Drosophila melanogaster: one gene and its partners. The protein of the gene in region 2 interacts with the protein of the main gene of each other region in a pairwise test. Each region holds a gene or a part of one and is shown on either strand. Other genes may lie near its edges.

Region 1 (9,032 bases), on a different chromosome or scaffold from region 2:
TCGCTATGACGCTCCTTTTGAGCCTGATCACAGTCTTTAAGAGTCTGCAGGAGCAGAGTGAGGATGGCATAGTTTCAAAGAGTTCGCAAGAGTTTGTGGACCTCAAGGAGTTGGCCAAGCGATTTGCGCTCACATTTGGTTTCGATGCCATCAAGAATCGCGAATCTGTGGCCGCCATTCATCGTGGTGGCATTTATTTCGCTGCGAACAAGGAGCCAGATGATCCGGTGCGGGCTCCAACTCGCTTGCTCTTCCTGGAGGTTTTGAACGAGTTCAACTACAAGCTACTGAAGCAAGACAAGAAGGTCATAATGAGCTTTCTGGACAAGATAATACCACCCGCAATGCCATCCAGCCGAGCTGAGGAATGGCAGCCGCTGATATTATATCGCAATTCCTTGCTACATGGCGAAACTGATCAAGCGCCCGTCGCCAGCAAACGAGCCTACACACGTAAACGTCGAGATCATGGTAAGAATTTCATAGCTTTCATTTTATTTAGAATCAACATTATGAAAAACATGTTTTTAATTTAGATGAAGAAGAGGAGGAGGAGGAAGACGAAGAGGAACACAATGATCCTGATTACAGGGGCTAGGACCCATCAGGCAATCAGCCATACACGCGGCTTAAGTGCAAAATCTAATTTTCCGGAAAATCAAGTAGTTGTAAGATTAAAGCTAATATTATGTACATAAATACGTTTAAATTATATAAATTACTGTATCCTAATTGATTTCCGAATTGCTAAAGCTAAAGTTGGCCTTCATGAGCAACATTTTGGATGCACTTTCGGGGCTCAAGCCCGCCTGCATGTCGAAATACAAGTGCGTTGATTTTCTAAATAAGCCTTCACTAACCACACTTGCTGCTGGTGCTGATAAGAATTTCCTAACAATGCCATACAAGGATATGTATTTTATGTTGCTCCTCCACCAAATCAGGGGATCCATGTTCCTATCGATTCTGGGTTCGGAGTTGTATAGATATAGCAGATTCTTAATCTGAGACTGGGAGCCCATTGACGTATTTGGCTGTTGAGTGTTCGTCGTTCCAGTTGTCAGTATGCTATCCAGAATGCTATCGATCTTTGATTCATTCTTCTGGGACGATGTGGATGACACTTTGATTATTTTCAGCGGTGGCTGACCATTGCAATCCTCTGGCACTCCAGCGAGCTGAAGCAGAACTTCATTGGCCACCAACTGCTCCTCACGTTCGGTGAAAAATGCTTGCTTATATCTCGGATCCAAATATGTGGCCATCAAAAAGTTGATGTCGCTAGTGATGTGGGCGAACTTCATTTCCAGTTCTTCAAGCAACTTTCTGGCGAAACTGCATATAGTCTAGACATTCGAAATATTAGACAATACTTTATGGTTTTATCTACTGCAACTTACCACAGATGAGACAAAGTTATGGACATCTGTTCGGAGGGAATCCCGTAAAGCGGCAACCAGCGGGATTACGGATGAGGTGGTCGTAGATGGATTGCTCCATATCTTGATTGTTTCTTCACAAGGCTGCATTACTTTGCTGCACAAATCGATCTCTATCCATTCATCTGGATATATTTGGACCAGACTATACTCTTCGCAGTACAAGGATAGAGCATCTTTCATTCGAAACACGCTGCTCATCATCTGAAAAGCGGAATTCCATTGACAGGGATCGTAAGGTGTAAGTGTGCACGGGTCTCGCGTCAAGCGGATCTCTTGAATGAATTTCAGATGATCGTTGGCCATCTTAGACGACGCAAAATGGTCAACTATTTGCTTGCACTTGGATGAAAGGTTCTGCAGTAATTCGTTCGATTGCAAAGCAAATCGAACGCACATCTGCAGGCGGTGCACACTGCAATCGGGCAGGGAACCTGGCAGCGCCGTCATCTCGTCCCTGATTACGCAGTGTATCTTCTCTTTGGGCACCTCAATGGCCAAGCTGGGCACAAGATCTCGAATGCAACAAGCTAGCTTCGAAGTGCTTTCGTAATTCAGAGCCTCGCATTTCAGCATTAGGCGGTGAGTCTGAAAATCCCTTGATATTCCGGAGCAGGACAAGCTCAGCAGTCCTTCGCCTTTGTCACCACGCCAGAGACTCGTAGACAACGATATGGCATCCAGCAGATCCACCTGTTGCTTCAAATGCTGATGCATTTTCCTTTGTATATCCTCGCACAGTATCTTCTCATAGTAGCTCCTTGGTTGAATCGTGTACCGCGGCTGCAGCGTCCTAATGAAATTTACGAATCCTGGTCCTTCAATGAACTCAAAGGAGTGATTTAGTAGCATGAGGGCCAACTTCTCATCACAGCGTTTGCTGTAGGATATATCCTCGGTGTCCAATGGATCTGAATCTGTTTCCTAAAATGATTAATAGAATAATTTAATGCATCAGATTAGTGAAAAACGCATAATTTATAAAAATATAATACTAAGACCATAACAGTACATTTTTAAAACCTCCTTAACTACACTTTATAAACACAACACATGTTTGCCGATCTAGCCAAACGCGGATAAAAATCCGCATCCGCTGTTGCTATATTAGTAAAAAGTTTTAAATAAGAGAAGGCATAAATTACTTTATGAACTACCAAAGAAACTATATTTGAATGGAAACTTAAGTTTGGGGAAACCATCTCCACATGACAGAATATCTAGAAGGGCATGTACCCCGATTTCACATAAGGTACACTTCTTGCACAGTACATATGCATGTACATAGGTATGTATGCACATCTATATGCTATCCCACTTACGTGCAGATTCAATTCTAGCTGGGCTGTGGGGTGCTGTGGCGAACCGATGGAGATCTCGCTCTTAACCAGGTCCAGGTACTTTATGTCCCCGGATAGAGATAGGAACTCCGGTGGGTGCTTGCTCTTCAGATGATTCCGCAGACATGTTGTGCCGCGTCCTCGCCTCGAGTAGTTCCTGTTGCACAGCAGACAGGTGGCCACTGTGCCGGATGTCTTGTAGAAGTACTGCCACACATTGCTTTTCTTCTTGCTCATCGCTGCAATTCTTTGGTAATTCTCAAATTGTACATTTTTTGCGGATGTCCACATCCGCCTCTACATCCGTTCTGCGGCAGAGTTCGACATCCCTGGCAGATATCGATAGGCCCATCGATGACCATCACTAATATGCTGCAATCAGTTTTTGGCGCGCCAAAGCAGCTGTTGTTTTTTGCATTCGAGGTTTTTGAGGCATTTGCAAATTCATTCGTTAACTAGATAATGCCCTGTGCGATGGAGCTGCCCAGCACGCCCGATGAACTGGCCGCCCAGCAAGCGGACAGCGCTGCACTCAAGGACTTGCTCAAGGATCCCAGTCGTTGGCACTCGATTCCCCTGCTCAACTACACGCCTCTTCACAAGCTGAAGGATCAGACTCTGGTGCGCTTTCGTGGAATGATCCAGGACATGATGGACCCAGAAATCTATCTGGAGCGCTACGAAGTGAAATCCGCCGACGGCAGCAAACGTGTACAGGAAGGAAAGTACAGGGACTGCTTGAAAATAGCCAATGGCGAAGTGATTGACTACAACGCCGATGGAAACGTGCATGGAGAGAGGCGTACCATGTTCGTGGTCTCTGTGCCTGGTCTGAACGATTGGAGCAAGGAGCATGAGAAGCTGTGCTGTCCCCAGATCGATTTGGCCAGTCTGGGTCAATCTCCCAGTTCAGCCAAGAAGCGGACTATTGTAGGCGAAGAAGAAGCCATGGATGTGGACGTTGCGAGCGAAACAACGTTCAAGCGACCCTGCCTAAAAGAGATTCAAAAAGATAGCGAGCCAGTCGGCGCCTCCAAATCCTCTGTTCTTGGGTCTGATTACCTGATTAACTCGCCTCTGCCGGATCGTCCCAGCATGGCATGCATGGTAAAGGTTTACGAGGAGTTCGATACCTACCAGCTTAACTCGCTGGTCGACTTTGTGGGCTTTCTGTCAGTGGATGCTTCACTAGACGCCGCTACCCTGGAAATAGACGATTGTGAAAACTTGAGTGAACTGCAGGCAGCTCATCCATCGCCATTTCTTATACCCCGCCTGCATGCCTTCGGAGTCCAGGTGCTGCCGCATGCCAATCCGCTGCTGGACAAAAGCCTTCGACAGCCAACGGAAATATGTGAGGAGACGTATCCAACCCACCTTGCTGTGCACAAAGATCTGCGCATGCTTCTTAAACTCTGCCTCTTTGATGACGATCTGGCTGCCGAGTATTTGCTCTCCCACCTAATATCTACGGTCTACAGTCGTTCTGAGATGCAGAGCATCGGCAAGTTCGCCCTTAACCTTTGTAATCTCCCTAAGAATTGTGAGGCGTATGCAACCAAGTTGTATCAAATTCTGGAGCTGCTACTGCCGGCCAGCCATTACATGCCCATGACTCTCGTCACACTAAACACGGCAGCCTTTGCCCCAAAGTAAGTTGGCTAAGCAGAAATAGTATAAAATTGAATACCTATTAATGAGTACTTGCAGGAAGGATTATGAGACAAACAAGCTGGTTTCCGGCGTACTACAGTTGGCTCCCCATACGCATTTGGTGCTCGACGAGACGTGCATGCAACAGGGCAAGCTGGAGGCCAATGGTGTTCATGCCGTTCAGCATTTAGCGCACTTGATCAATAATCAGGAACTGAAGTGCGACTTTCAGTATTACCAAATAGACTACCAAGCAAATATTCCAGTTCTCGTGCTCAGTGAAGGGCGAAGTATGTTGCCGGTAAGAATATAAGTTTATATAAATAATCATTATATCCAATAGAAACTATTAATGATATGTTTTCAGAGCGATTTTGTGCTGCCCATTAATGCCGATTCTAAGGCCGTGGAACTTGTTGATGAATCTCTAAAGGCAGCCCACCACTATCTGCAGCCATCACGTCTGCAGCAGTTTCGCAAGTACTTGACCACAGCGCGCACTAGCGGCTTCAACGTGAGCGAGGAGCACACTGAAATGATCCAGCAGGATTTCGTGGACATGCGTAAAGCTAATGTCAAAAGTAATGCCGATGATCTGCATGGATTGCTGGTCCTCTCACGGCTGCTGGGCATCGCCCGGGGGAAGGATACGTTGGACAAAGAAACATGGCAGCTGGCTACGGAGTTCGAAGCAAAGCGTCGCCAGCGTATTCAATCTCTGCCGAAATCATCTGCCCAATTGCGCAATTAAGAGGGCCTCTCTTTTATACCATTTAATATTAAGTTTTTATAAATAAAATAGAATTTTTTAAAATTATTCTCTTTATATTTAATTTGTAGCTTTACAGGCAAGTCTAGTAATTTAGTACTCAAGTAAATGGGACTCTAGGAGCGTCATGACTCTTGGTCCACTACAACTTCATGACTTAAATGCTCGAAACGCCCTTCGATTAGCTGACTGGCCAGGCAATCTCCGCACAGATTAAGGTAACAATAACAACTGTTACAACGCCATTGGGTCCTGGTCACAGATGCCTCTTCGCACTCGGCACACTTGGCGGCCAGCAAGTCTGGCTCATATCCGTCCTCCATTTCCCGTTTCTCGTCCTGAATGGCTGATAGAAGCTTAAGGCATAGTTCCTGTTTTCGCTTTGACTCCGCATTCAGATCGGCATCCATGTACTCGGATTCGATCTTTGGTTCGATCTTGGATGCCGGCATAAGGAGCATATCGCTCGCAGGCGATGGGATTCGCAGGTCGTCAAATGTGAAATCGTCCTCTGGCATTTGTAGCGATATATTATGAGCGGGGAAGAAGGTTGACTTGCGAAGTTTGATCTTCGGCTTACTCAAACCAGGACGTCGATGCTTGGGTATGCGACCGGGCACAGGCATTCCGGCATCGTGCAGCTTTTGGAAATACTTCTGGACACGACTATACACTTGCTGTGCCGTTCTGTTGCCCAAGGCCTTCGCTATCTTCCCGAATCTGCGCATTTCCACTTCCTCTGGCGGATACTGGATGAGCAGCTGCTCCAAGCGACTCTGCTCTTCGTTGGTCCACAAGCGATTGAAATTCTCCGACCGTCCATTGCTCCTGTCCCGATTCTTGTTCGCCTCTTGCGTCCATGAAGACGCATCGGTCGGTGTCTCATTTGTGCCCCCTTCCTCGTCATTGGGCGACAGAGTTGGCAAGTCCGGTAGAACGGTCGTGGTGATGTAATTATCCGCTATCAAAGGCTCGTTGTTTCGCAGTTTGTCCAGCATATGTTGCGGATTCTCCAAGTAGATATTTTGTGTGGCTTCCAATTCCTCAATCTGCTGATGCACCCGAATCCTTTGTGCCTGCAGCACGGCCAAAGTGCGCAGCAAATTGGTATAGCACTGGTTGCCACGCAGGGCCAGGTGCTCGGTCTCAAAGTGAAACACATCCTCATCTTCTGCAGATATCTCTGCTATTTCCATTACAAAGAATTAGCACCAAATACCCGTTTGTATACAAAAAATGTGTTTACGCCTCTGCGCTAGAGATGGCAGCTCATTAAGCAAAACAGTTATCGAAATTTAGCAACATATCGATCTTGGATCATTATCAGCTGTTATCAGCGAAAAAAGAAGAAGCGGAATACGTAACGTTTATTTACAAATTTAGCAATGATAAGTGCACCAATTCGCTCTATCCTTGCACTTACAGCAAAGGTAATTTCACGGAAAATCGAACGCACTTGACAATATTTTAATAATTTTAAAACTAACAGCGCACGGCGGTTACAAGCGCGGCCAATCAGGTGCGAATTGTGGAGGTTGGACCGCGGGATGGTCTTCAAAACGAGCCCAAACTCCTGCCGGCAGCCACCAAGATCGAGCTGATCAACCAATTGTCCGAAACAGGACTGCGAACCATAGAAGCCACCAGCTTTGTGAGCGCCAAATGGGTGCCACAGATGGGCGACAATGCCGAAGTGCTGAAAGGAATCCGCAAAGTGACTGGTATAAGCTATCCAGTCCTCACGCCTAATCTGAAGGGATTCGAGAGTGCTCTGGAGGCGGGAGCCGAGGAGGTGGCAGTCTTTGGAGCCGCATCTGATGCGTTTTCGCTGAAGAACGTTAATTGCACGGCAGCTGAGGCCATCGAACGATTTAAACCTGTGCTGAAAGCAGCCCAAAAGCATGGTGTGCGCGTCCGGGGCTACGTTTCCACCGTGGTTGGCTGCCCGTACGAGGGTGCTGTTGCGCCGAGTGCTGTCGTCAAAGTGGTGGAAGCCCTGTACCAAATGGGCTGCTATGAGATCTCATTGGGCGACACCATTGGTGTGGGCACTCCAGGCACAATGCGCCGAATGCTGGATGAGGTGACCAAGGTCGTCCCGGCTAAAGATCTGGCCGTGCACTGCCACGACACTTATGGTCAGGCTCTGAGCAACATACTGGTCTCACTGGACTATGGCATTCGGGTGGTGGACTCTTCCGTTTCTGGCTTGGGCGGATGTCCTTACGCCAAGGGGGCGTCAGGCAACGCAGCCACCGAGGATGTGGTCTACTTACTGCACGGCATGGGCCTCGATACTGGCGTCAACCTAGACAAACTGATCCAAGTGGGGCGGTACATCTGCACCGAACTGGGCAGAACCTCAGAGTCCAAGGTTAATCGAGCGTGGAAGGGACCGCAGGCGCGAGTTAAGTGATGATGCAAGCATTGATACTATCAAACGAAAACGAAGGCATTTACTAGCACTAGTTACACAATACATTTATTATCGTTGCAATATTTAGTCAAGGAGCGTGAAGTACTTTTATGGGCCTTAAAACTTTTGGGCATCTCTTATTGTGTATAAGGACACGTCGCCTGAGGCGAGCGACAGATCAGCCAGGCTGTGATTGGCGCGTCGTGGGATATGCGAAGACGACGGATTGCGGACTGCCTCGCCGGGCATTTTCATTTTGCCATCGTGGCGCATAACAGTAGGCTCCACGGCGGAGTTGAGGTATTTTTGAATTTGAGGTACCTTCGGCATGGGCAAAGGAGTTCGTTCATCAACCACCTGTTCAATGGAAGGTATTAGTTTACGTTCACTCATCATGGCTTATATATAAATTTAAACTTACATGCTTGATTTCGGAAGATATGTAAGCCTTTTTGGGAAGCAGATCAGCGGCTGAATCGATTCCATTGATAATTAAAGATTCCGCTTCACTGGACTTGGGTGTTTCGTCCTTTGTTGCGAAAAGTGCTTTAGGATGACACAAGCGAGACTCCTGCTCCAACTCACTGATGGCCAGTGTAGATAGCATATCAGAACTCGTTGGACGGAATGTACTCATTAGCGGAGCAGTACCAGACTTCTGGGTGTAGGTGCGTATGGGACTGACTATGTTGGCGTATGGCTGCTTTATCTGATTTTGGCGACGCTGAGGAATACCAGAGGCTGCACTGAAAAATTTCTTTTTGGTCCACTCCATGGTGAGGCCGACATTGAGCGGCTTTCTACCCGTGCTAGATGAACCTACAACTGTTTGTGGCTGATTAGATGACCGCAGCGGAATTGATGGCTGCAAAAAGGCTACAGCCGGTGATTTTGGTTCCGGCTTCGGTGAAACAACGAACGTGCTTTGTTTGGTCTTGGGCAGCACAGGGCAATCTGCCTTGACTGCGGCGACTGAAGGAGCCCCACCTGCCATGTACTCCATACCCTTTTGCATCATGTACTCCATTTCTTCCATGGTATCATTGAAATGCAACGAATTTTCCTTATTTTCAACGCTCTTCTCCGCTGGTTTCTGCTCAGTGTGATCTTTTCCGTGGACTGAGGACACACGGGACGTGTCTTCTTGTTTTACTTCTGGAACTAGCTGCACTTCTTCATCGTCAGAAGAGGATAGCTCGATTATTGTATCCTCTATATCGTCCTCTTCCTCCTCGACCTCATCCTTCGGAAGTGAGGCCAGCTCTCTAAGACTGCCATGAAGATCGCTTAAGAGCTCCAGCTCCTCTCCCTTGGACATTCCTGGTGGCTTGGCCTTGGCAATTGCGGCGTAAAACAATTCGTCGACGTTTAGGAGCGTTCCACTGAGGGAAGTATCCGTGGCTGTTTCGTAAGAA
Region 2 (7,909 bases):
CCGGATATTTATGAAGTTATTAAGTGCGGTCTTTTGGAAGCACTGGCAAAATCATGAGGCCACTCGATCCAAGAGGCCTGCCCCTCAATAATTAATTAGAAATTTACATAATAAAAATCATTTGGCCGCCGGGTAGGATCCATTTTTCGACGGCTCAATTTGGGGCCAAGTTAAATATTTAGTTTAAGCTTTTGCCCGCGCTGCAACTTTATAGCCAGCCACCAATTACCAACTTGGTGGGCTCCTTGGTGGGAGTGGGTGGTCGTGGGTGGTGGGCATGGCCATTGTCTTTGGGCGACAAACCATAAAAACAAACTGTTAACAGTTGGCGCTCGGGCATTGATTGACCAGACAAGTGCAAGCAATGGAGCTCAGCGTCAGTATCCACTGTCTCACACACATCCACAAAAGCATCTTCATCAGATTCAGTTCCTCAGATCTCGCATCAGCTGCTGCGATTCCCATGGACGTGACACGGTGGAGCGGTGGAGAAAACATCATCATAATAATAATAAAGCCGAATAACTTTCTCCACACGTAGTGTGTGTCAATAAATCGGTTGTTTCTCGCAGAGTTTGAAAGGAAACTTTTAGAGTTCTTAAACAAAGAATGTGGTTTTGGAACCACTGTGCCGCATCCTGTCTGCCATGAATGATGCGTCCTTTCCTGCCAGCACATAAAGCCCCGGCCAGTTGCATCTATTCCACACACTGATAGACAATGTTTGTGCACTGATTTATACTCAGCCAGCTATTAAATAAGAATTTTCGTTATTACGCTGCCGGGGATTTTATTATGTGACTTTCAAAAGCCCCCGCCAACTTGTTGTGGCTTTGGCTTAAAGCCGCGCCAAGCTGAAAATTGTTATTTTAACCTTTTAAAGTCAGCTTTATCAGCACCAAATGCAGGGCCATTATGCGTGGCCCACGCGGCGTATGAGCAACGTTAAATCTGCGAATAATTCAAAGACGTGCGTTTCTTTTTACAGCCGCCTTGTCGGTAATCCCATTAAGGAGTTATCTGGCGAAACATTTTTGCACAACACTCGACTGGAGGCACTGTGAGTATACTTTGTTTGTTTTAATTTAAAAAATCACAAAATATATCATGAAGTTGTTAAAACGGGATTGAATTTGATTTGAATATATGATTTCATTTAATTTCTCACCAATATTTAAGTTCGTTGGCCCTAATGCCGATTCACATCAGCAGCAGTTTAATGGAGCCACTGAATATATCGTTTTTGAATCTCACGGGAATTCGGTATGATCACATCGACTTCGAGGCCATCAATTCAATGCGCAACCTGACGTACATCATCTACGATCGATTCTTCTACTGCTCAATGACGCCGCGGGTGAGAATGTGCAAGCCGTCCACCGATGGAGTCAGCTCCTTTCAAGATCTTCTGAGCAAACCAGTGTTACGTTACTCCGCCTGGGTGATGGCCACGTTGACAATAGCTGGAAATGTGCTAGTCCTATGGGGACGCTTTATCTACCGCGATGAGAATGTGGCTGTGACAATGGTGATTCGGAATCTGGCTCTGGCTGATATGCTGATGGGCTTCTATTTGGTCACCATTGGAGTGCAGGACTATCGCTACCGCAACGAGTATTACAAGTAAGTCAAATGTGATGGATTGGCATTTGTTACGCCCCAATCTTTTAGGGTTGTGCTGGACTGGATAACCTCGTGGCAGTGCACACTGATTGGAACGCTGGCCGTGAGCTCCTCGGAGGTTTCGATGCTTATCCTGGCTTTTATGTCGCTGGAGCGGTTTCTCTTGATCGCCGATCCCTTTCGCGGCCATCGCAGCATTGGAAATCGGGTGATGTGGCTGGCTTTGATTTGCATTTGGATTACGGGCGTGGGCTTGGCTGTGGCACCGGTGCTCCTGTGGCGGACCAGTACCCTACCCTACTACGGATCCTATTCCGGAACCTGTGAGCACAATGTTTATGATAAAATGTAGTTTACCAAGTGACGAAATTAAACTTAACAGGCTTTCCATTGCACATCCACGAGGCCTTCCCGATGGGCTGGCTTTACTCGGCTTTCGTGTTCCTGGGCGTCAATCTGCTGCTGCTGGTGATGATTGCGATGCTCTACACGGCACTCCTTATTTCGATATGGCGAACGAGGAGCGCCACTCCGCTCACTCTGTTGGATTGCGAATTCGCTGTGCGATTCTTTTTCATCGTGCTGACCGACTTCCTGTGCTGGGTGCCCATCATCGTTATGAAGATCTGGGTTTTTTTCAACTACAATATCTCCGATGACATCTACGCCTGGTTGGTGGTCTTTGTGCTGCCACTTAACTCGGCGGTTAATCCTCTCTTGTACACCTTCACCACGCCCAAGTACCGAAATCAAATCTTCCTTCGCGGCTGGAAGAAGATAACTTCTAGAAAGCGAGCGGAGGCTGGCAATGGAAATGTGGCCACCACAACGACGGGCACGGCAACTGGATCCTCTCAGCATCCGGATGACTTCACGATCTTTGCCAAAGCCGCGATGAGATGCCATTAGGTCCTAACGCTGTCGAACTGAAGGATTCTTGTGGCGCAGATCGAACTTGTATACCACCAGATTTAGCAGCATTTATTTTGTCTATGATATCGAAAATCTATATATGTATGTGAATATCTATCCCTGTCCGTGTAAGATAACCAAATGAAAGTGTGAAATAAATTGAATGTGATATTTGTAAGGCAATTTTACGGAATTTAAAATGGGATGCGAGTTAGTGTAAGATTAAGCTATTATCTAAGTTTTGGTAATAGTTTTAAATACTTTTTATTTAGAAATAGCAGCGCTATCATTTTTGGCATGGTGTGATTCTTTCTGGTCCGAGTAAATCTTTGCCATTACCAACTTGGAGCGCACGATGTGAAACTTTCGCATTTCCTCCAGGTCCTCCATCTGCACCACCATGTTATGCTTACGCTCCAGGTGCATGCGTAGTCTAAAAAATTATTAAGGAGTGTTACTTTCAAATAATGTACACTTTAAACAAAATAACTAACTTGTTACGAGCTGGATAGCTCTGATGGCAGTGGGCGCACTCAAATGGCATGGCCGTATGCGTGCACTCGTGATTCCTGAGAGATGAAGATGAGGTAAAGGACTTCTGGCAGCCGGGAAACTCGCAAATGAAGCGAGATCCAGAGTGCTTAACCTGCTGGTGGACAGTCAAATGGGATCGCTGTGCGAAACGACGATCACAGAGATCACAGGAATAGGGAAAGTCTCTGTTATGATAGCGTTTATGAATCTCCAGGGCTTTGGCAATGGCAAAAACCTTGCCGCATGTGTCGCAGTGGACTCCAGACTGCCTGTGCTTCGAATCGACGTGAACTTTCAGCGCCTGCTTTGTGAGGTAAACCCGGTCGCACTGGCTGCAACGAAAGTTGGGACGATTGGCCAAATGAATCATCTGGTGCTTGGCCATGCGGGAATGGTTCCTGAACTCCTTGTGGCAGAACTTGCAGTTGGATTTTCCCGTATGCCGATTGCGTGGCACAATGTCCTCTAAGCTGTCGATAGGGGTTTCCTGCTTCTCCTCAATCTCTTCCATCAGGAACTCTTCATTCATATCCGCCTCATTCTCCTCATCCTCCACGTCGTCTTCCTGTTCCGTGTTGGCTTCGGTTGCCACAAATATCTCCCTCAACTGCTGATTGGCAATGGCCATTTTCTTGTGGAAGTCGTAGGCCCATTTCAGTTCCACCGCACAACGTTTGCACAAGGTTCGTGGCTCGTTTTTGGGATTTTGCCGCAGGTCTTCCTTGGTGCAGATCTCGTAGCAGTCGTAGTAACTCAGCGCCGCCTCCTGGTCATAGATGACGGTCATGTCCAGCATTTGGTTGGGATACGGCTCCTCCAAACACAAGCGGCAGCAATTGCTCAGCTCCAAAGAAGTAGTACTGTCTGAAAGTGAGACTTCATGGGATACAAGCTTCACGGGAGCTTCTGCAGTTCGCCTTGCTATTGTAAAATTAAGCGTTTGGCATACTTTTGATGTTTGGGGATCCATCTGTGCAAAGCTTATTTTGATCAAATTGAAAAGATTACTCAGATTACCTAATAAATACTTCTTTGTTTACAGTTGAAAATCCCCGCTCTTAGCCATAAATGTGAAGAAAAACTAAACATAGCTGTGCTAGGGTTGCCACCTATTTCACGAGAGGTCTGGCAGCACTTGGGAGCGCTGAAATTTTTGAGAACTTTTTGCTTCGTAGTTGTTGTGATTTCTTTGTACATCCCCTGAAAACGATGAAGTTACTTGAGCCTCAGACGACCATTAGTCCTGAACCGGACATACTGCATCCGGACGACGGTCAATACATATGGCTGCCAATTTCCGTGCTCGTTGGCATTTTCGTTCTGGCTGCACTGGTGCGTTATCGCCACAGTCTGTTTGTTTAAGTGGATGTACATTTGTTTAATTTATGCATTTGGGTGTACACAGGTCTACGCCATGTCACGTAGTCGCTGTCGGAATTCCTGGGATTGCCTAAAGAGCAGGAAGGCTCCGCGAAGTGGATACATCAATGTGGATGAGGAGGATTCCGATGTGCCCATGGACTGCGGAGATGAACTGGGAGATCAAAGGACTACTGCTACTCTCCTCACTGGTCGCCTCCACATTCAGGATGTCAGTGAGCTCGTGACAATGTCCCAATACAATCACAGCCCTTTTTCTTCCACAGGGAGCGAATAACGCCTCCAATGCCTAGTGAATCTCAAAAGTCTTCCATACACTTTATTGTCCACGTTGTCTTCAAACGGTGGTTGTCATCGGTTTAGTTACTACTGCAAACTACGTGCCTCTACTACAAGTACAACGAAAATAACCCTAATTTTAATGATCCGTACTGGTGGCGCCAAGGATTCGCGTCGTCAGGTCGTAGAAGCCAAAGAAGAATGCACCGCCCAGTGTGATCCACAGCACACGCGGCACAAAGCCAGCAAACAGACTGAAAAGTAACATCGAAGTACATTAATAAATGTAATAAATAGTTTTGTAAAGTTAATTTGTGTTTAAATATTAGGACCAGCTTGAGTTGCGTCTAATATGGAAATAATTACCCGCTGAAGCCTCGCTCCAGGTAAATGCCATGCAAAATTCTTCGGGCACTGCGACGTCGGTTGAGACTCTCCCTTTCAGCCAGCATAATTCGGGTTTTGACCACATCGAGCGGCGTAGTTAATCCCGCTGAAATGCCTCCAGCGACAGCTCCACAAAGAGCCACCGAAAAAGGAGTGGAATCGAAGCCGGTCAGGGGAGTCCATTGCAGCTTAAAGTACTCCCAGAGCGGAAACTGTATCAGACTAAATGGAATCTCCCGCATGATAGTGGAACCAAATCCCCTGTACAGACCACGTTTCAATCCCTCAGTGCGATAGGCACGCAGTAGAATTTGCAGGCCGGACTGTTTGTTGCCCTGCAATGTTTGGGAGCGTTGCTTGGCAATCTCCACGGGAACTCGGATCAAGCATGCCAACTATTGGATACAGAGATTCTTCAGATCTAAATACGAGGTGCTCAGTTTTATATGAAATCCTACCACTTCTGCTGCTGAAGCCGCTGCCATGTGAACATAGGGTGAATCTTTGGTTTGGGTGACCGAACTAAGGAACTGCTTTCCGCACTCGTAGGTGCAGAAAAACAGGGCCGCCGTGGGAGCACTTCCTGCAGCCGCAGGAGCGAGTCCTTTGTAGATGCCCCTGAATCCTCCTGCCCGCCAAAAGCCCAGCTCGCTTTGCAGTCGGGTCTTCACTGTATCTATGGGAAACAGCGCTATGTCCACTACCATTCCAGCCACTCCTCCTGCCTAAAACTAATTATTTAAGAACTAACTTTTCATTTAATTTTCATCTACTTACAACAAGTGCATGGAAAAATTTTAATTTATTGACCGGCTCTTGCATTTTGATTGCCACGGACCCCGCGGCCGATTCCAGACCCAATTCCGCTGCCATGTCCTAGAAATGATGTTGGGGCATCCACTTTAAGTCATCCCGTCGGAGTATTAACTAAAGTTGTTTTAGTAAACAAAAACATAAAATGTGGTTGTTAACGTAACAGTCAGCTGCTTTTTGCTGATCTGGCAGGTCTGCAGATAACAGCTGCTTGGTGTAGAGTTGCCAAGATGCTGAAACCATAACAAATAAATATATTCTATGTAAGATATATATTATTTGGTCAAAAGTGTTACTTAAAAAAAGGATGGTATTGAAATGTTAGCTTTTTCACAAAAACACATAATTATAATACATTTTTTTTACACCAAAGTAATTATTTTAAAACCAATACCATTTACTTGACAACCCTGAAAAGCCGTGGTTCTGGGCAAGAGCCAGCAGCACCGTTTTGGCCAAGTGGAATAAAATTGGCTGTGATTTAACTGATAGTAGAATACCAACTGCAGCGGTAGAAAACAATAATCCAAGGATCAAATCATGGCCCTTCGCTTGACCCAGAGATTGCTGCAGACGCAGACGCCGTTCCTCACTCGCGTAAGTTTTCTCGGCCGGAAAATTGGCCCACAAAGGCAAATTACATAATGCGCGCCTGCCAGATCCTATTGATCGTACTTATCGATTCGAATTGTAGGGCTATCCCTTGCTGGTGACCAAGGAGAAGACCGAGGATGTGGCCCACACCAAATCGGCGCTGCAGAAGAAAGTCACGGTGAGTGCAACCTCTGGAGCTCACCCCCAATTGAGGTTATAGCATCCGTATATATCTTCGTGAACAGGGCACCGATATTCCCTCGGCACAGTACGGAGGTCGTCATGCCGTCACCATGCTGCCGGGCGGCGGCATTGGTCCTGAACTGATGGGCTATGTGCGCGAGATCTTCCGGTATTGCGGTGCACCCATCGATTTCGAGGTGATCGACATCGATCCCTCCACCGAGGGCAACGATGATCTGGACTATGCCATCACATCGATTAAGAGGAACGGAGTGGCACTCAAGGGCAACATCGAGACCAAGTCCCAATCCTTGACCGAAGTCTCCCGCAACGTGGCCATCCGTAACGAGCTGGATCTGTACGTCAATGTGGTGCACTGCAAGTCGTATCCGGGCATTCCGGCCCGCCATCACGACATTGACGTGGTGCTCATCCGCCAAAACACCGATGGCGAGTACGCCATGTTGGAACATGAGTCTGTGCCCGGAATTGTGGAGAGCATGAAAGTGGTGACCGTCGAGAATGCCGAGCGTGTGGCCCGCTACGCCTTTGAGTTCGCCCGCCAAAACAATCGCAAGAAGGTTACCACCATTCACAAGGCCAACATCATGAAGCTGTCCGATGGTCTCTTCCTGGAGGTTGCCAACCGTGTGCACAAGGACTATCCCGAACTGGAGCACAACAACATGATTATCGACAACACCTGCATGCAGTCCGTGTCGAATCCTCACCAGTTCGACGTGATGAACATGACCAATCTGTACGGCACCATCGTGTCCAATGTTCTTTGCGGTTTGATGGGCGGAGCTGGCCTCATATCCGGCAGGAACTACGGTGACCATGTAAGTCTCTTTCTCTTTTGCTTAACCCATAGTCTTTCAGTTTTGTCATATAATTTTAGTACGCCATCTTTGAGCCTGGCACCCGTAACACCGGAACCGCCATTGCCGGCAAGAATATCGCCAACCCTGTGGCCATGATCAGTGCCAGTATCGATATGTTGAACCATCTGGGCCACAAGGAGCACGCCAATGTCATTCAGGAGGCCGTCTACCAGACCATTGTCAACGATGCCATTCGCACGCCAGGTGATCACGTCTCTCGTAGTTATTCAATAAACAGAATCACCTTTATCATCTAAATCTCTTACAGATATTGGCGGCACCAACTCCAGTACCGATGTGGTTGAGAATATACTCAAGAT
Region 3 (6,765 bases), on a different chromosome or scaffold from region 2:
TGTTGCTGCTGGGCGATGGGGTTCAGTGCTACCTGAACCAAACAATTGCTCGACAGCAAAAGTCAATTGGGCGACACACGCAACATCACACACACACACTCAGCACAGCACAGCACACCACACAGAACCCAAAAACACTAACAAAGCGGACTCCTCTCGGCTGTCGGACATGCTTTGCATACAAAGATCCCACTGAAGTTGACTGGTCTTTTATGTAGCTGCATGCGTGAGGTGCGTGTGTGCACTCAAAGAAAATAGCAGTGGAATCTAAAAACCTTCTGAATCATAGCTGACAAGAATCCAGTTGAATTACTAGAAATACAATGGGGTATCCTAGAGCATCTTAAGATCAAAAGATATAGTTTATTTATCCAAGTATCTGGCTTGCAATCAAATTAAACTTAGTTCTAACTATCCTCTAAGTTGAATTCGTTTTCGATAGTGCACTTGTGCGAATGGAACAGGATGCACATGCAGGATTGTTACACTGCAGAACACAATGGGCGGTGGTCAGGTCAGTTGTCCATTTTTGCACAGGACGCAGGCCTGATTGAATTGAAAGTTAATTAGAGAGAGAGATAGATGTGCTGACCGAATGTTCCGGGAAAATGTGGGAATAGTTTGGGGGATTCGTTCGGGCTTACCCATTTTGCATAGGGTATCCGCCTTCCGAGAAACAACTCGTATAAATAGACCCAAAACGACCGTGTTTTTCGTAAGGGTGTGGCCGTCTGTGTGGGTAGTGTCCTCAATTAAAATTAATTATGCCCAAACGATACGCTCAATAAAATTTAATTTGCGAAAATATGAGCCAAGAAAATGAGCCACATAGGAAAATGTGACATTTAAGTGCCGGGGGCCAGCATCCTCAAACTATTCGCCAAACAACAAACACACACAGTCGGGTCTAATAATTGAAATTGAATTTTCAATGATAGCAAGGCGAGGGCCCAGCGATATTTTAGATTTATTTAGATATGTGTATCCACCCCCATGAGCCGAAATGTTTGGCACACTATTTAGAAGCAATAGGACTTGGGTTTTATTTTCCCGAGATTTCACCTCACCCTGGATGACTAGCTAAGCTCTAGGAACACCTCACCTACATACGAAATGGTTCAGATTTAACTGGACCTGGCATCGTCACCCAGAAAAGCAGTCAGTCTCCAGATCCCCCCAAGTGGAATAAAGACTAGACACTTGACCGGATTCTCGTTCTGCATTAAATTTTGTGCGAGTAAGCTGACGACTCTCTATTCTGTTTTATCAAAACCAAACGAAATCGCATTAAAAATAAATAAAATTAAAAGTGTAAACTGCACAAACACACACGACTTTTGGCCATGCTGCGTGCCAAGTGGAAAATATTTCGCAAGTTTTTCTACACATTATTGTGTGAAAAATACTATATACATATAGTGTACTATATATATACACATCTGTGTAAAAAGTCGGACACAGGCAGGCAGGCGGCTGCCTGTGTGTTATGTTTAGTTTGCTACGTTCAATTTGCATTGTTGTTGCCTGCTATTCTATTGTTGCCGGCAAAACAAAATAAGGCAACGCAAAATGCTAGAATGGGCGAAAAAAAAAACAAGGCATAATAAGCAGGCAAGAATAAAAACTACAAAAAGAAAGCAAAAAAAAAAAAAAAAAAAACGAAGCATAAAGGAGATGAAAATGAACATTTTTTGGCAAACAATTCAGGGCTAAATATTTTCATTGTTTTGTTGAGTTTTTATCACAACACCATAAGTTTGTATCCAAGTGGCAACAGGAAAAATCTAGATAAAATCATCAAGATTCTAGCAATTTAAAGTCCCGCATTATTTGTGTGCGAATCATACGATATTTTTGTTTTCTTCCTGTTTGTAGTTAATTTAAAGGAAATCCCAAGGATTTGCATCTCTAAGTTATTGGGTAAACATTACGAAATATACAAATAATGTGATTATAGTTTAAACATATTTATTAATAAGATGCACAAGGTGACACTCTTTGTGTTTCTTAGTATGGGATCTTTTAAATTTAGTAAAAGGAGTTAAAGTAACAAAACAAAGCAAAGGCATTTAAAATGTCAAGATAAATCCCATTTGACGCTTATCCTTGGGACTTTGCAAAGTTAATGGATAAATATCGAGTGCCATGATAAAGTTTGGTTAGTTCAAAGGGTTTTGGGGTTTGGGGTTTGAGTTTTGGAACCCGCACAATCGCACGCACACATTTAATTGCAGAAATGCTTAATTATGCATGAAACACTGAAATAAGCAAGACGCACACACACATACACTCACTCACATCCAGCGAGGGATGAATAATTCATGGCAAAACGGAGAATTCGTGGATCGGCTTTGCCCTTCCCTTCCCTTCCCCTTCGATTAAACAGCGCGCGTTGGTAAAACAAACAAATAAACAGCATAGCCAGCAATATTTTGTACCTCCTAATGACGTACTCTTTCCAGACGGCAAAAAAAAAAAAAGAAAGGAACACGAAAATTGAGAAAACTTTTGCCGTGCAATTTGCACGTCAACATTTTCCCAAAACACCGAAAAAAGTAATACTAATGGCAGGCACAACAATATTTTCGGCAGCGTCGGCGGTCAAGTTTGTGTTGTGATGTTGCATGGATGCCTCCAGTGGCCATACCCTTCCCCCAAATCGGCGAAACCAAGGACATTCAATATGGGAACGAGGTGAGAAACGATTAGACAAGGCCTCGTTAGCTGGAGATTACAGTGAACACAGTTGAAATTCCACATTTGGAAATACCCTTCAAATCCTATACTCAGATATTTGAGTTTCAAAAGATCACTCTAGTATGAATATATCTTTTTTAAATAGCACTCAGTTATGAAGTGCAAATTGAATGTTACAATTCTTAAAATACTCCTGGTTTTCATTTGCGAAAGTGCACTGTAATTCTTACTAAACATAAATGACATCTCACTCTCGAATGGATTCCCATCGATTGGCCACAAAGGAAACTCACCTGCAAAGATACAAAAAGAAAAAATAATTAGCAATAAAGCCAGCGAGCATAGACGAATGTAATTTGTCTAAGCAGAATCAGAATTCAGAAGCCGAATGGGAGGAAGAACGATTTTCTTTTGGTTGCCACAAGAACAAGACTGTGAGCTTGTGTGTGGGTTGTCAACTGATTGCGCATACGCCGCGTTGGTCAACGCACTTTCCAAGGCTGCGAAAACGCGAAAGCAGCTGCAGCGCGCTAGTCGCTAATCATAATTTTTGATCTACAAACTAATTAGTGTTCGCACGAGTGTGATTGCAATTTATTGGACACCAATTGAGACGAAAGCGCGCATTTTCATTCATAAACATGGCAAAATACGGGGACCAGAGCGAAAAAAGGGAACTCAATTTATTAATTGCTAGCAAATGTTGGGCGTGTGTTGCAAGAGTTTTGCCTTTGCGATCGCAATTGCGATTGCATTAGCCATATTGCAATTATGTCGTCATGTCCGCGTCGCCGCCAAAGTTCAAAGTTGCAGAATCTTTAGAACATAAAAGTTTTTCGCACGTTCCGCACATGGTGGTGAAGAGCAAGGAGGGCCGGAGGGAGGAGGCAGTCACTGTGCGCCGAGAATTATTCATGGCGCATATTTCAGCGGTTTGGCAATAGCCCCCCACCTTCCACACCCCCTCCCAAGAGGCGAAATAAATAATTGCAAATATTATTGGCCACTCAGCGCATGCCAACAATAAGAACTGCAAAAATAGCCAGCGAAATTTGCAGTTCGCATAGTTTCGCAATAAGTCGGCGGCAATGATGACTCAAGAGTGCAAAACCAAATATTATAGCCATATAAAAAATATGTGGGAAATTATGCATCTTGGCATGGCACTTGGGCATCCCGATGCGATGAACTGAAATCTGACAGGTTGAGGAGGTACTCCTGGGTCTGGTTATTCTAGTCATGATGGGCTAGTCAATTGGCAGGATTCGCGTCTCTATTCAATTGGCCGAACCGTTTCAAAACTATTTCAAGGCTTTAGGCCAAAACGAATCAATTTGAAACACAATATTCGTTTTTGACAGTGATTAAGCGAAAATAATCGCTGGTGGGAAGTAAATCAAAGTGGCTACACTTATAGTACTTAATCGTTTAATTAGGCTGTAAAATGTTCTACAATCTACAATCTGCTGCCAAAAAGCATTTATTTTATACTAGGATCAACGAAAACTAAATATATTTCCCTCACTGACGCGCCTTTGTTTTAAGTAACATAATACACTATTTTTTTTTTTTTAAGATTTATTGTCTTTCCATTGATATCTGCAAGTCACACAAATGGTATAATGGTCTGAAACAAAATCGCGTAGCAAATCTAATTTCAATTTCTATACTAAAATATCAGACGGATGGAAATAAATAGGGCGCACACATCAGGGTAAAATGGTAGACGTATTCCCCATCTACAATGACGGACATGTGGAGCTTGAAGATCTGTGCCTGTCTGGGCCTTCTATTACTTTTCAAACCCATCGACTCCATGGGATGGCAAGGACCTAAAGTTGACTGTACGGCCAACGGAACTCAGACGGAGTGTCCTGTAGCATGTCCTGAAACCTGCGAGTACTCCGGCAATGGACCCTGCGTCAAGATGTGCGGAGCTCCTTGTGTGTGTAAGCCGGGATATGTTATCAATGAGAGGATTCCGGCCTGTGTTCTGCGATCCGATTGCCCAAAAGATGTTGTTCGAAAGGAAGATATGCTACTGGGTGTATCGAACTTTAAGTGCTTTAGCAGAAATTACAACTGTTCATAGAAATTTATTAGGAAGGCAGCTAAACTTTAAACTAAATTACAATAAAATGTAAATAAATGTGTAGTAAATTACAAGCTATAATTACAAGATAATTACAAATAGTAAAAGAAATCCGAAATGTTAGTTGCACTAATTACGTAACTGGAACGAAGTTGCATAGCAAATATAATTTGTATTGCTGTACTAGCAACCTATAAGAATACTTTCGAAATCTTCATTCCACCTGCTGCCCAGTTTTCCAGCCAAGTCCTGCCCACTTCTCATTTGCCCGAAATGCCACTGCAAATGTGGCGGTGCAACTGTTACCAGGCGGCTGGTTGTGTTTGTGACCGCCATGTGCCCACTGGCAGCCACAGAAGCGCACGTCACCCGCACATACAGTCATGACCATTACAATGGCTATTAAGAGAAAGAAAACGCATTTCTTGGCAAGCGGTCTCGTGTGCTACGGGTCATTTGGGCGGAACTATGTGACTGCAATTGGGGGACACAGAAAAATGGGGATTTCAGCACCAATCCATGCGAAACGCGGAACACATTCGATATGGTAATCACATCGGAAATTTCACTGTGAATTATTTAGAACTGTGTTATTCCTACATGCTTTTCGAGCTGAACAATAAATGCACAGAATGAATACTTTGTATTTGCTGGCCAGATTAGGCGCGGTGATGCATGGTGCTGCAATTGGGATTTAATTAAAAACTTAGTGGGCCAGCAACCAAACGGCGCACACTTTGATTTATGATTTAAGCCAAATAGTTTTAAAGCGCCGCCGACGTGGTATAATTCTCTTGTATTTTGCATGTTAAATTTCGCGTAATAACGAAAATGATATATAGAAATAATCATAATTTTCACACTTGAAAGAGCGACACAAGACGTCCACGGCGACGACGCCCGTTCGCATCGCGGCTTGTGCATTATTTCTTAATTAAATTTATTAATTGCACACAACACGAGCCGACGGCCGTACAACGGGGCGTATGCGCAACGCTCGCCCCCGCCATGAGATTTAAATGAAAATGCGAGCGAGTGAGAGGGAGAAAGAAAGGCAAAGAAAAGCCATTTGAATGATTCATTTACGTGTCGAAAACTTAATTGTGCTAGCAGGTAAGACGCTTGTCGATGACGCCAAAGGCTAAGAGGACAAAAAAAAACAACATTATCATCATCACCATCCGAATCGCAGCTGAACTGGGCTTAAGAAAAATGGTCAAACCAATTATAAGACTTCTGTGGGCTATTTCATTTTGTCATTAAGAAACTCTAGTAGTTGAAGAACATCCAAATTTGGTCACAACAAGGCAACCATATCAGCCATTATGCTTATACCAATTTTCACTTTTCACTTGCTCTTTTCGCACGTCACTAGGGGTTTTTCACGATTTTCTTGAATGACTGCCTGCAGCATCCGCGCATCCAAACAGCAGCTGTCAGCCCAGAGTATATCACCGTCATTGGGATCTGTCACAATGGCGAACTCTGGGGCATTTGTCACCCAGTCACCTTTGCACCCGCGAATTCCCCGGCAGTCCGCAAAAGCAATTAGTCGCAACAGTTCCTAAAAATGTGTCATTTTCGGCCAAAATAAATACTGAATTATTTTTGTGCCACGAATATTTTTAGCTATTTTGGTCTAAGCAAACAAAACTCAGCGGGACTTTGTGCTGAGTATCTCTTCGAAAATTAATTAGCAGCGTAAAAGCAAGAAATGCAACTGAAAAAGAAGCCACAGGGGGCAACAGGGGGTTAAAGCGAGCATCGTCCTTGGCCAAATACTTTCCATGACAGTTGTCGAGTCAATTTAATTAGTTAGATACCATTCTTGAATGCAACCATTTCAGAGAGCTCAGGAGATTTGTGTAAAATAAGTAAATATTTTGAAAAATATTCTTTTCACTTGGTGCATTGGAAACAATACTTTCGACTCTTTTAGGAAAACGTCTCTTTTTTCATGGCCCACAAATTATTGC
Region 4 (7,717 bases), on a different chromosome or scaffold from region 2:
GTCAGCAATTAGGCAAACTATGACACTCGAAAGAGCAACTCGCAACGGCGAGGGAGTAGAGCGGAAAATCGAGGGACGGAGTGGAGTGGATTTGAACGCAGACGGTGGACGATGGCGAACGTGGACATCATTAAAAACTCATTTACATGCAGGCTGGGCTGTGTCGCAGGACATTTGGCCGGGAAAGGACGGATCCGGCTAACTCGGTGACTCGCTGACTCGGTGACTGGGCTGACTGACTGGCCTGACTGACTGGGGCAGTTTGTTAATTTTAGATTTGAGACACGTCTCCAACTCAATTTTATCGCATGTTACGCCTTGCTGCCTTTCGCTTTACGCCCAATGTCGACGGACTATGGACAGCGGACTGACATTTCCTAGCGATTTCCCCTACCCATGTCGTGAATTTTGATTTCAAGTGTCGCCGTTTGGCGTTGTCGTCGTCATTTTCATCCGAAGACCGGCCCAATTAGGGGGCAAGGTATAATTTATGCGGCTCAAGGATCTCTCTACAAATTGGCCATTGTTGCCACTGCCATTGATAGCATCACATTCCATCGCCTTCCAGTCAAGTGGTATTCCTCACACGCCGAACTGGTCGCAATACAAAGTTGAACAATGGGGCATCATACGCAAAGTTTTAATATTATTTTTGCATAATATTTTCACAGCCGAGCAAAGTTTTGGGACTAGGCTGGCCACCTGACTGACCGCACGCATGGGAATTTCGCCAGGTGCTTCGCAGCAAACTCATAAAGCTAATTAAGAAATGTGCCAAAGTTGCTCTGCAAAGTTGTGTGGCTTACTTCAGGCCAGCTCTGTCTCTCTCTGGAAATTACGTAAATTTATTAAAAGCCGACAAAGTTTTAAATGCACGGCCAAGCGGTACGTTTTAATTCAATCAAATATTTAGACTTGCAAAGAGTCGTTCTTCTCTGGAAATGTCGACCAAATCTTAGCACATTCTAAACATCTACGCAAAAAAGCATATTAAAGTTAAATTTGCTGTAAAACCGGAAATACCCTATGAAAAGGGTATGGAAGTCCGGAAGTTTGACTAATAGTTCCAAGTTCCAGGCGTTGAGTGAGATGTAAAGTCCAAAGGAATGCGCTAGATGGCATAAACACTTCTCAAACAACAATTTCGCATATTTACTTATGCAATATGACTATCTTTACCAGCACAACTGAGCTCAACTTCTTTTCGGGCTTTTATTTAATCAGGCATAGTTCAAAAGTTGTGAGCAAAAACTTTTGGCCCAGCAATTGTTTTGCTCAAATGCCTTTGACATTCTGCTCGGCTCTGTTCTTTTGCGACATGAGATGCGAATATTTGTCGCAATCAAATAAAAACTTTGCAGGATTATAAAAAGGTAAAGGAGCAGCTGTATTCCCCAAGGAAATGGTAGGTAGGCAGTCGGTGCGCGGCAAGCGCAATAAGCCAGCCTAGCCACTTTGGGTTGAAAAATCTAATAACTGGTAAATCACCTTGCAAAATGTTGTTCATTTCACAGCGCTATAAACACGCATCGAGCCTCGTCCTTGGGCGGCCGACCTCCCCTTGTCGACTTAAACACTTACAACGACTTAACCACCTTTTGTTATTTTGCCTGCGTAGCCCTGTCTGTCACTTTAATCTGCCTGCCACACGCAGAAGAGCCAGCAAGGAGGCGAAAATCCAACGAAGGACACTCACATGGTTGAAGTTTGCATGCCTGGCGAGGCTTGCAAAGTTATTAACACGCGGCTCCGACTTAAATAAGTCATATTCCAGCCGCCTTTCGGGCTCAGCTCACTGCCTCCTTGACTGACTTCTTGTCTGGCTTGCAAAGGAGGTGAGGAGGACATTAATGGGGTTTTCCTATTAATTGCACGACTGGCCTGAAAGTGAAAGCACTGAGCAAGAAAAGTTGGCCAAAGACCGATCCAACGTCTGTGGCAAAAGTGGTTCGTTTAAGTTTAGGGCAATAATGGTAGAAATTTTCACAAATCATGTGGGAACACAATGACACGAAAAATGTATTAATTTTAAGTTAAGAATTTACTCAGCTTGGAATTGAAATCGATTTGATAATTGACAGGTATGTGATAGTCAAGCCGTTTATTTCACTACTTCCCTAGCACACCATGTAATCAATGAGATTGTACAATCTTTCCATTAACGTTCCAAAAATTTCTTACAAAATTATGCGTTTCGAGTAAATGTACCTTAGGGTACCGATTTCGATTTCTATCAATAAAAGTTTTGTGAAATACATCTACCGCTAATGGAAATTCATGTTTCGAGGACGGCCATCTGCGTTGGCTGTCGATGAAGGCAAATCCTGTTGCAAATGTCGCTACATTCGTGCGACTTGTTTGTAAATTATAAAATAATGCCGGTTGCATTTCCAACGACGTCTGCTGCTTCTGATTTTCCACTTTTCCGCTTTTGTTTTTCGGATGTGGTCATAGGCTGAGGGGGCGTGGTGGGAGGGCCTGCACGGCAATTTTTATGCCAAAGTGGCACATATTTGGCTTAGCTTTTAAACATCGCGACTAGAAATCATACCTGAGCACCAGTGGCAGTGGCAGCATATACTTTTTTGGGGGCAGCTAGTTTTTCGGCTGATATATAAAAAAGGTTAGTGGAGTTGAAACCCAACTGAAATAGGGCCCCCTTAATCCCCCCCAAGATCAGCCTCTGGCTTTGAGCAGCCGATGTGATGTAGCAGTGAGGCAGTGTGGCATGTCTGCCACGGCAGCGTACTCGACTGTCGGCGCTGTCAAATAACTGACATTACCTTGCCGCCACAGCTGCACCACCGCACCACCTCCACCCGGCTTGTAGAGCCGGTGAGCCACTGCACCACCGCAGACGACGCCGTGTTGTCGTCATCGCTCCAGAGCCGCGCACTTTCGTGACTATGAACAATAAAAATTTCGATTAGAATGTAAGAGCAACAACCGTTCGCGGCAACTTCAGCTGCTGCAATCAAGTTGTGCGCGGCCCGATCGGCAATCCGTGGACCCGGGCTTGAGTGGGGGAGCTGTGTGCCACAGACGTAGAATTATAATAGGAAAAAAGAGCTAAATTGCATATTAATAGAAATTGAAACCTAAATGTTATGCAGCGCAAAGCGTGCGGTAGACAACCATTTCATTACATTGTCCTGAGCTGAGAAGGGTGGCAGCCGTCGAAAGGGTGGTGCAAGGATATGTAGGACATACCCATGCAATCAAGGGTATGTCGTATTCATTCACATTTAAACGAAAAGGGGAAAATGAACCTAAGACTATTCATCTCATTTGAGTTTTATGTCAAGAAACGAAAAAGTTTATTGTTCGCTATTCCAACACACAAACTTAAACACTTTTCATAGACTTCAAAGTTTATCGGTTCTGAAGCCAGCAAGGTGTTCCATAAATCGTCCCTGACGACGTATTGAATTTGAATATTGGCTACACAAGAAGGTAGGTTCATCTGCCCCATAAAGATTACTATCTGTACTCAGAAGAGGAATCCTAGGAAAGAAGAGCACTGCAAAATGGCATTTCTGGGCAAAGTCAACAGTCAGGGAACCCTTATCGACCATGAACTATTCTGCATGACCCAGCCCAGCCAGCAGGATTCAGATGGCCAAGCCAGAGAGATGGGGGCTCGTGTACTGCTACCGCGAAGAAAGGGTTCCAGGACTTTCATCAAGACCTGTGACAAGGACAGCCTCGTGCGCTCTATGGGTAGCCCCAGCACAGTGCGCTACGTGGGCAGCTCCGAGTCGTCCAGTGAAGTCAACTCATTGGACGAGACGGAGACCTCCACTCTGCGCTGCTGCTCGGATTTGTCCCTGGGCACCCTGAAGTCGACCAAGACAATTGAGGGGCCCCGCGTCGGTGAACTGGGAGAGGATATCGAGCTGCAGACGGAGTCGGAGACGGTCTGCCTGCATCTGGGCAGTCCCAGCAGTAGCACCAGCACGGACCGGAGTAGCTGCAGCAGCCGATCCTGCCCCTCTTCCCGCAGCGGCAACAATTCCAGCGACAAGGACTCGACGACCTCGATGTGCAGCTGGGAGGAGGCCATGTCCCGGGACGACAGCATGCTGGCCCCGCTCGAGTTGCCACTAAGCCACAGCCTGCCCTCGCTGCGCCTGGGATCGAGCGTAGGATCGCCGCCCCTTACCTACACCCGCCGCATCGAACCGCTCCATATCCGGCGGTCCGCCGGTGAGGCCTACGAGAACTGGCTGTCCGGCAAGCAACGCCAGTGCCAGTACAAGTTGCAGGCGCAGCAGGCCGAGAGAGAGGCGCAGCGGCAGCGAACGGAGCTGAGGCAGCGGCTCGCCAAGGAGAAGTACGAGCAGTGGTGTCAGCAGAAGGCGCAGCAGACCACCAGTACCGCCAAGCTCACCAAGCCCGACCGTTCTGCCCAGCTGCCGCCGCAAAAGAATATGGCGTCTGTGCAACATCACCTGCAGGAGTGGGAGCTGCACAAGCTTAGGCTGCTCGAACAGCGTCGCCTCGAGCAGCGGAATGCCGAGCGGCGGCGCCAGGAGGAGAAGGCCGCCCGCCGCTCGCAGGCGGAAGAGGCCTTCAGTCGGTGGATGAGCAACGTGGCCCAGAGGCCCAAGCCCGTCCCCTCCAGCCAGGGAATGAAGTCGCTGCGCGGCACCGTTTCCGACATCTTTATAAACCCCAAGCAGTGGGTGAATTAAGCTGGTCGGATTTGAAATGGTCGGAGGTGGGGAGAAGTGTATGGCCTGGACAGGCTGCCTAAAAGGTGAGAGTTAGCTCGCCCTGTGAAACCAAAGTTTTAACAAGTGTAACCATATTTATTTATTTAGCACTATTAAATACCCGAAAAGAATGTTTCTTGGTTTAGTTTTCTAAAGTCATAGTAAGCCTTAGATAATTGTAATTTTGATAAATTTCCATAAGTGAATATGTAGAACAGTTTGCACCTTAAAGATGATCAGTTTACTAGCTCTTAGCAGTTAGTGGCCACTTGCTCATTAGTGGGTCAAAAGCATTCAGTTTACCGCTACACAATCATACAAGGAGAGTCGGTGGTCCGTTAATGAGCTGCATTAAGCTGACCCCACAAAGGAGATGTTGCATGCCCCCGACGGTACACATGCTCATCATCATTAGCAAATGCTATAAATCATATATATCCAATTTGACCGTCTAGGCGATATATGTCTATATTCAGTCTCAAAGTGTTCAAATGCATTTACAATGCAACAATTTATGTGAAATTTCCATAGTAAAGGCAAGAGGTAGAGAGATATAGTTACATCGACTATAAGATATCCATTACTTGCATCGCTTTGCTCAAGATTGCAAAGATGATTGAATATGTCTGTATATTTAATGAAATAACATTTTATACACTACTGCTATATATTTCTCAAATTTTCACTCACAACAATGTGAGCACATGATACACTTTTTGTCTCAATAGCAAACGAGTATATTTTTGTGGTGTTTTGCTCGTATTTCAAATATTAGTATAATGGAAAATGCCGGTAACGAAGCGCATTCATTATGCCAAATTATTTCGATTCCCAATCGAATTTCTCGACTTCGAGCGCACACAAAATGAATAATGGGTGCAAAAGCAGCAATAATGCCGCGCAAGAAAACAAAACCGCAGGCCTCAATTAATTTTTTCGCACAAATCGCGCGAATAATCAAAAATTAGATAGCCACCTGCTGACCTGCTGCTGCTGCATTTGTTTTTAATGCAGCTGCATCGAAAAACAATAGCCAGAGATGCCCGGTCGAAAAGCTGTTATCCCATGATTGCGGTGAGTTTACGGGCAGATTTGCTTAGGCCTCGCTGGTCGTTACGCAGTTGGCAGTCGTGAAACAATAATGTCCGCAAATTGACGCCACAAGCTGTTGGTTCAATGAGAGAGCCCACTGGCACGCACAGATGCACAGATGCACATGCCACTGCGTCTGTGGCACTTCCTCTGTGCCGCCATATTGAATTCGAACCCATGCAGGCTGCTCGACACTCCAGCTTTTCCCCGTATTTCCACGGGCTTTCCCATGTACCCATCTACCTTTGCCCACTTCCGTACACCGTAGCTTTGGATCTGCGCTTTGGGCTCTTTTGGCGCTCCTCCGTGTTTTGGTGCGGTTTTTATTTGCCAGCTTGTTTTCTGCTGGTTAGCCGGTTGAATTTCCCGAATTTTCCGGCTTCCAGGCAGGCTGCACTCCGACGTCATCGTCGCGCGTGTTGCCGTCGAAAAACAAGCAAACATATTGACTCCCTTTCGAACTCATAGCTCCAGCTCCAGCTCCTCCATCAGCTCCTCTTCTTCCTCCTGCTGCTCCCCCTTTTACATCCCAAGCAATAATTAACGTTGTGGATGCCACGGCAACACGTTGTCTAAACGCATTGTTAGCAGATTGCTGGACAGGAAATCTGGTAAAAAAGATTAGTCACTCTTTCAAACAGCACGTTCACTAAATTGAATGATTATATATATCCGCAAGCATTGTTTGAAGTGACAAAAATGCTATAGGTTGAATCAACTTTAAGTGGAATTTGATGGACAAATTCAACTTTATAAAATGTTTTTTGAAAAATCAAAAATTTTATATAAGACAGACTTTTTAAATGATACAAAATCGAATAACAAATTGCTTAACCTAATTTGTACTAATATATATAATAATCAGTTTACTTGTATAATGAATTAGTGCTCTTTTACACACACATGCACATCGAAAAGAGCAAATTTCTCTTGGTTGAAAGGGATTTTTTGCTGGTCGAAATATCCTCGTTTAAGTTAACAGAAGAGGTGTGGTGAAAAAGTCAAGAGGTCGTGTTACTCGTGGGCTTGATGTGTAGTCATGTTATATTTTTAATAATTTAAATATGTAACTAACTGGCTATTAAGCTTGTTAAGTACAATAAATATATTACGATTTCGTAACTTCATCTATCCAGTTTATGCCAATGCAACTGAAATTTCATGACTCACACCCAAATAGGCAAGATCTTCGATTTTCCCACCGCACATATTTAGCATTCATATTGCGTTGCAGGTCGCTATTATGCTCACCTGTATTATTAGCCTGCATGTAATACTCGCAAAGTGCATGCTTTTGACTTTGCCGCATACGTTTCAAAGTCATTAGGCGGCGCACTCGCAGAACAGATGCTTTGACCCCTGACCCCATATTCCCGACTGCTTACTATGGACTCCGCACGGCGAAACGGAACGAACCGTGGTCATTATGCGGCTGGTTATTTTCCAGGTTCCGTGGCTCAAGTGCCTATTTGAGATCGGGCAGAGGCCGCGACCCCGAGCGCCTTCAACTAACCGTTCGAGTTTCAGTTTGCTTTCCGCTTTTTTTTTTTTGTTGCCACTCGAAGCATTTCAAAAGAAGCACTTAAAAATCGACACGGTATGCAGTTATTTGTTATTTACTGTTGGCGAAAATTGCTTACTTGGCTTGAAGTCCTTGCCATCCGCCAGCCTTATATCTACGCTTTTCAATCAGCCTAATGACAGAGACGGTCGAAATTTGCTTTTTAATTAAAAGAAAATACCATTCAAAATTGTCGAAGAGCAGACACTCGAAAAACTCAACTACTCGCATCGGAGAAACTTGGGCCAAAAGGAAAACCCGACTCAGATAAACAGAGTAGCCGAGCGGGCCATAACAACAATGATAAACAAGTTCGCCACTTCATTTTGAATGGTCCGGCGACGTTCTG

What was found.
Region 1: the proteins of CG4730 (region 2) and CG13775 interact in a two-hybrid assay, tested with the Drosophila melanogaster proteins (one large-scale study listed by BioGRID).
Region 3: the proteins of CG4730 (region 2) and Acp62F interact in a two-hybrid assay, tested with the Drosophila melanogaster proteins (one large-scale study listed by BioGRID).
Region 4: the proteins of CG4730 (region 2) and CG14011 interact in a two-hybrid assay, tested with the Drosophila melanogaster proteins (one large-scale study listed by BioGRID).

The regions. Positions count from the first base shown.
Region 1 is NT_033779.5:6,953,857-6,962,888, forward strand, and holds CG13775 (uncharacterized protein), read right to left. Parts: upstream 3,095-9,032; 5' UTR 3,017-3,094; coding exon 2,762-3,016; intron 2,488-2,761; exon of another isoform or gene 2,452-2,487; intron 2,364-2,451; coding exon 1,401-2,363; intron 1,347-1,400; coding exon 729-1,346; 3' UTR 599-728; coding exon of another isoform or gene 537-598; 3' UTR 501-536; downstream 1-500. Other genes in the region: SA1 (stromalin 1), read left to right, coding at 1-471, 537-598; CG3430 (uncharacterized protein), read left to right, coding at 3,242-4,431, 4,490-4,733, 4,800-5,183; Atac1 (Ada2a-containing complex component 1), read right to left, coding at 5,327-6,397; Hmgcl (3-Hydroxymethyl-3-methylglutaryl-CoA lyase), read left to right, coding at 6,587-6,631, 6,691-7,617; sip2 (septin interacting protein 2), read right to left, coding at 7,735-7,974, 8,039-9,032.
Region 2 is NT_033777.3:25,674,499-25,682,407, forward strand, and holds CG4730 (uncharacterized protein), read right to left. Parts: upstream 4,185-7,909; 5' UTR 4,098-4,184; exon of another isoform or gene 4,087-4,097; intron 4,050-4,086; exon of another isoform or gene 4,040-4,049; coding exon 3,030-4,039; intron 2,969-3,029; coding exon 2,800-2,968; 3' UTR 2,574-2,799; downstream 1-2,573. Other genes in the region: Lgr3 (Leucine-rich repeat-containing G protein-coupled receptor 3), read left to right, coding at 989-1,060, 1,180-1,623, 1,672-1,946, 2,006-2,532; CG5039 (uncharacterized protein), read left to right, coding at 4,279-4,401, 4,475-4,660, 4,716-4,742; CG4743 (uncharacterized protein), read right to left, coding at 4,868-4,982, 5,095-5,510, 5,574-5,840, 5,893-5,988; Idh3g (isocitrate dehydrogenase (NAD(+)) 3 non-catalytic subunit gamma), read left to right, coding at 6,469-6,525, 6,623-6,700, 6,768-7,547, 7,607-7,793, 7,858-7,909.
Region 3 is NT_037436.4:2,735,332-2,742,096, forward strand, and holds Acp62F (accessory gland protein 62F), read left to right. Parts: upstream 1-4,418; 5' UTR 4,419-4,441; coding exon 4,442-4,789; 3' UTR 4,790-4,897; downstream 4,898-6,765.
Region 4 is NT_033779.5:5,576,702-5,584,418, reverse strand, and holds CG14011 (uncharacterized protein), read left to right. Parts: upstream 1-3,302; 5' UTR 3,303-3,453; intron 3,454-3,508; exon of another isoform or gene 3,509-3,516; 5' UTR 3,517-3,527; coding exon 3,528-4,694; 3' UTR 4,695-4,839; downstream 4,840-7,717.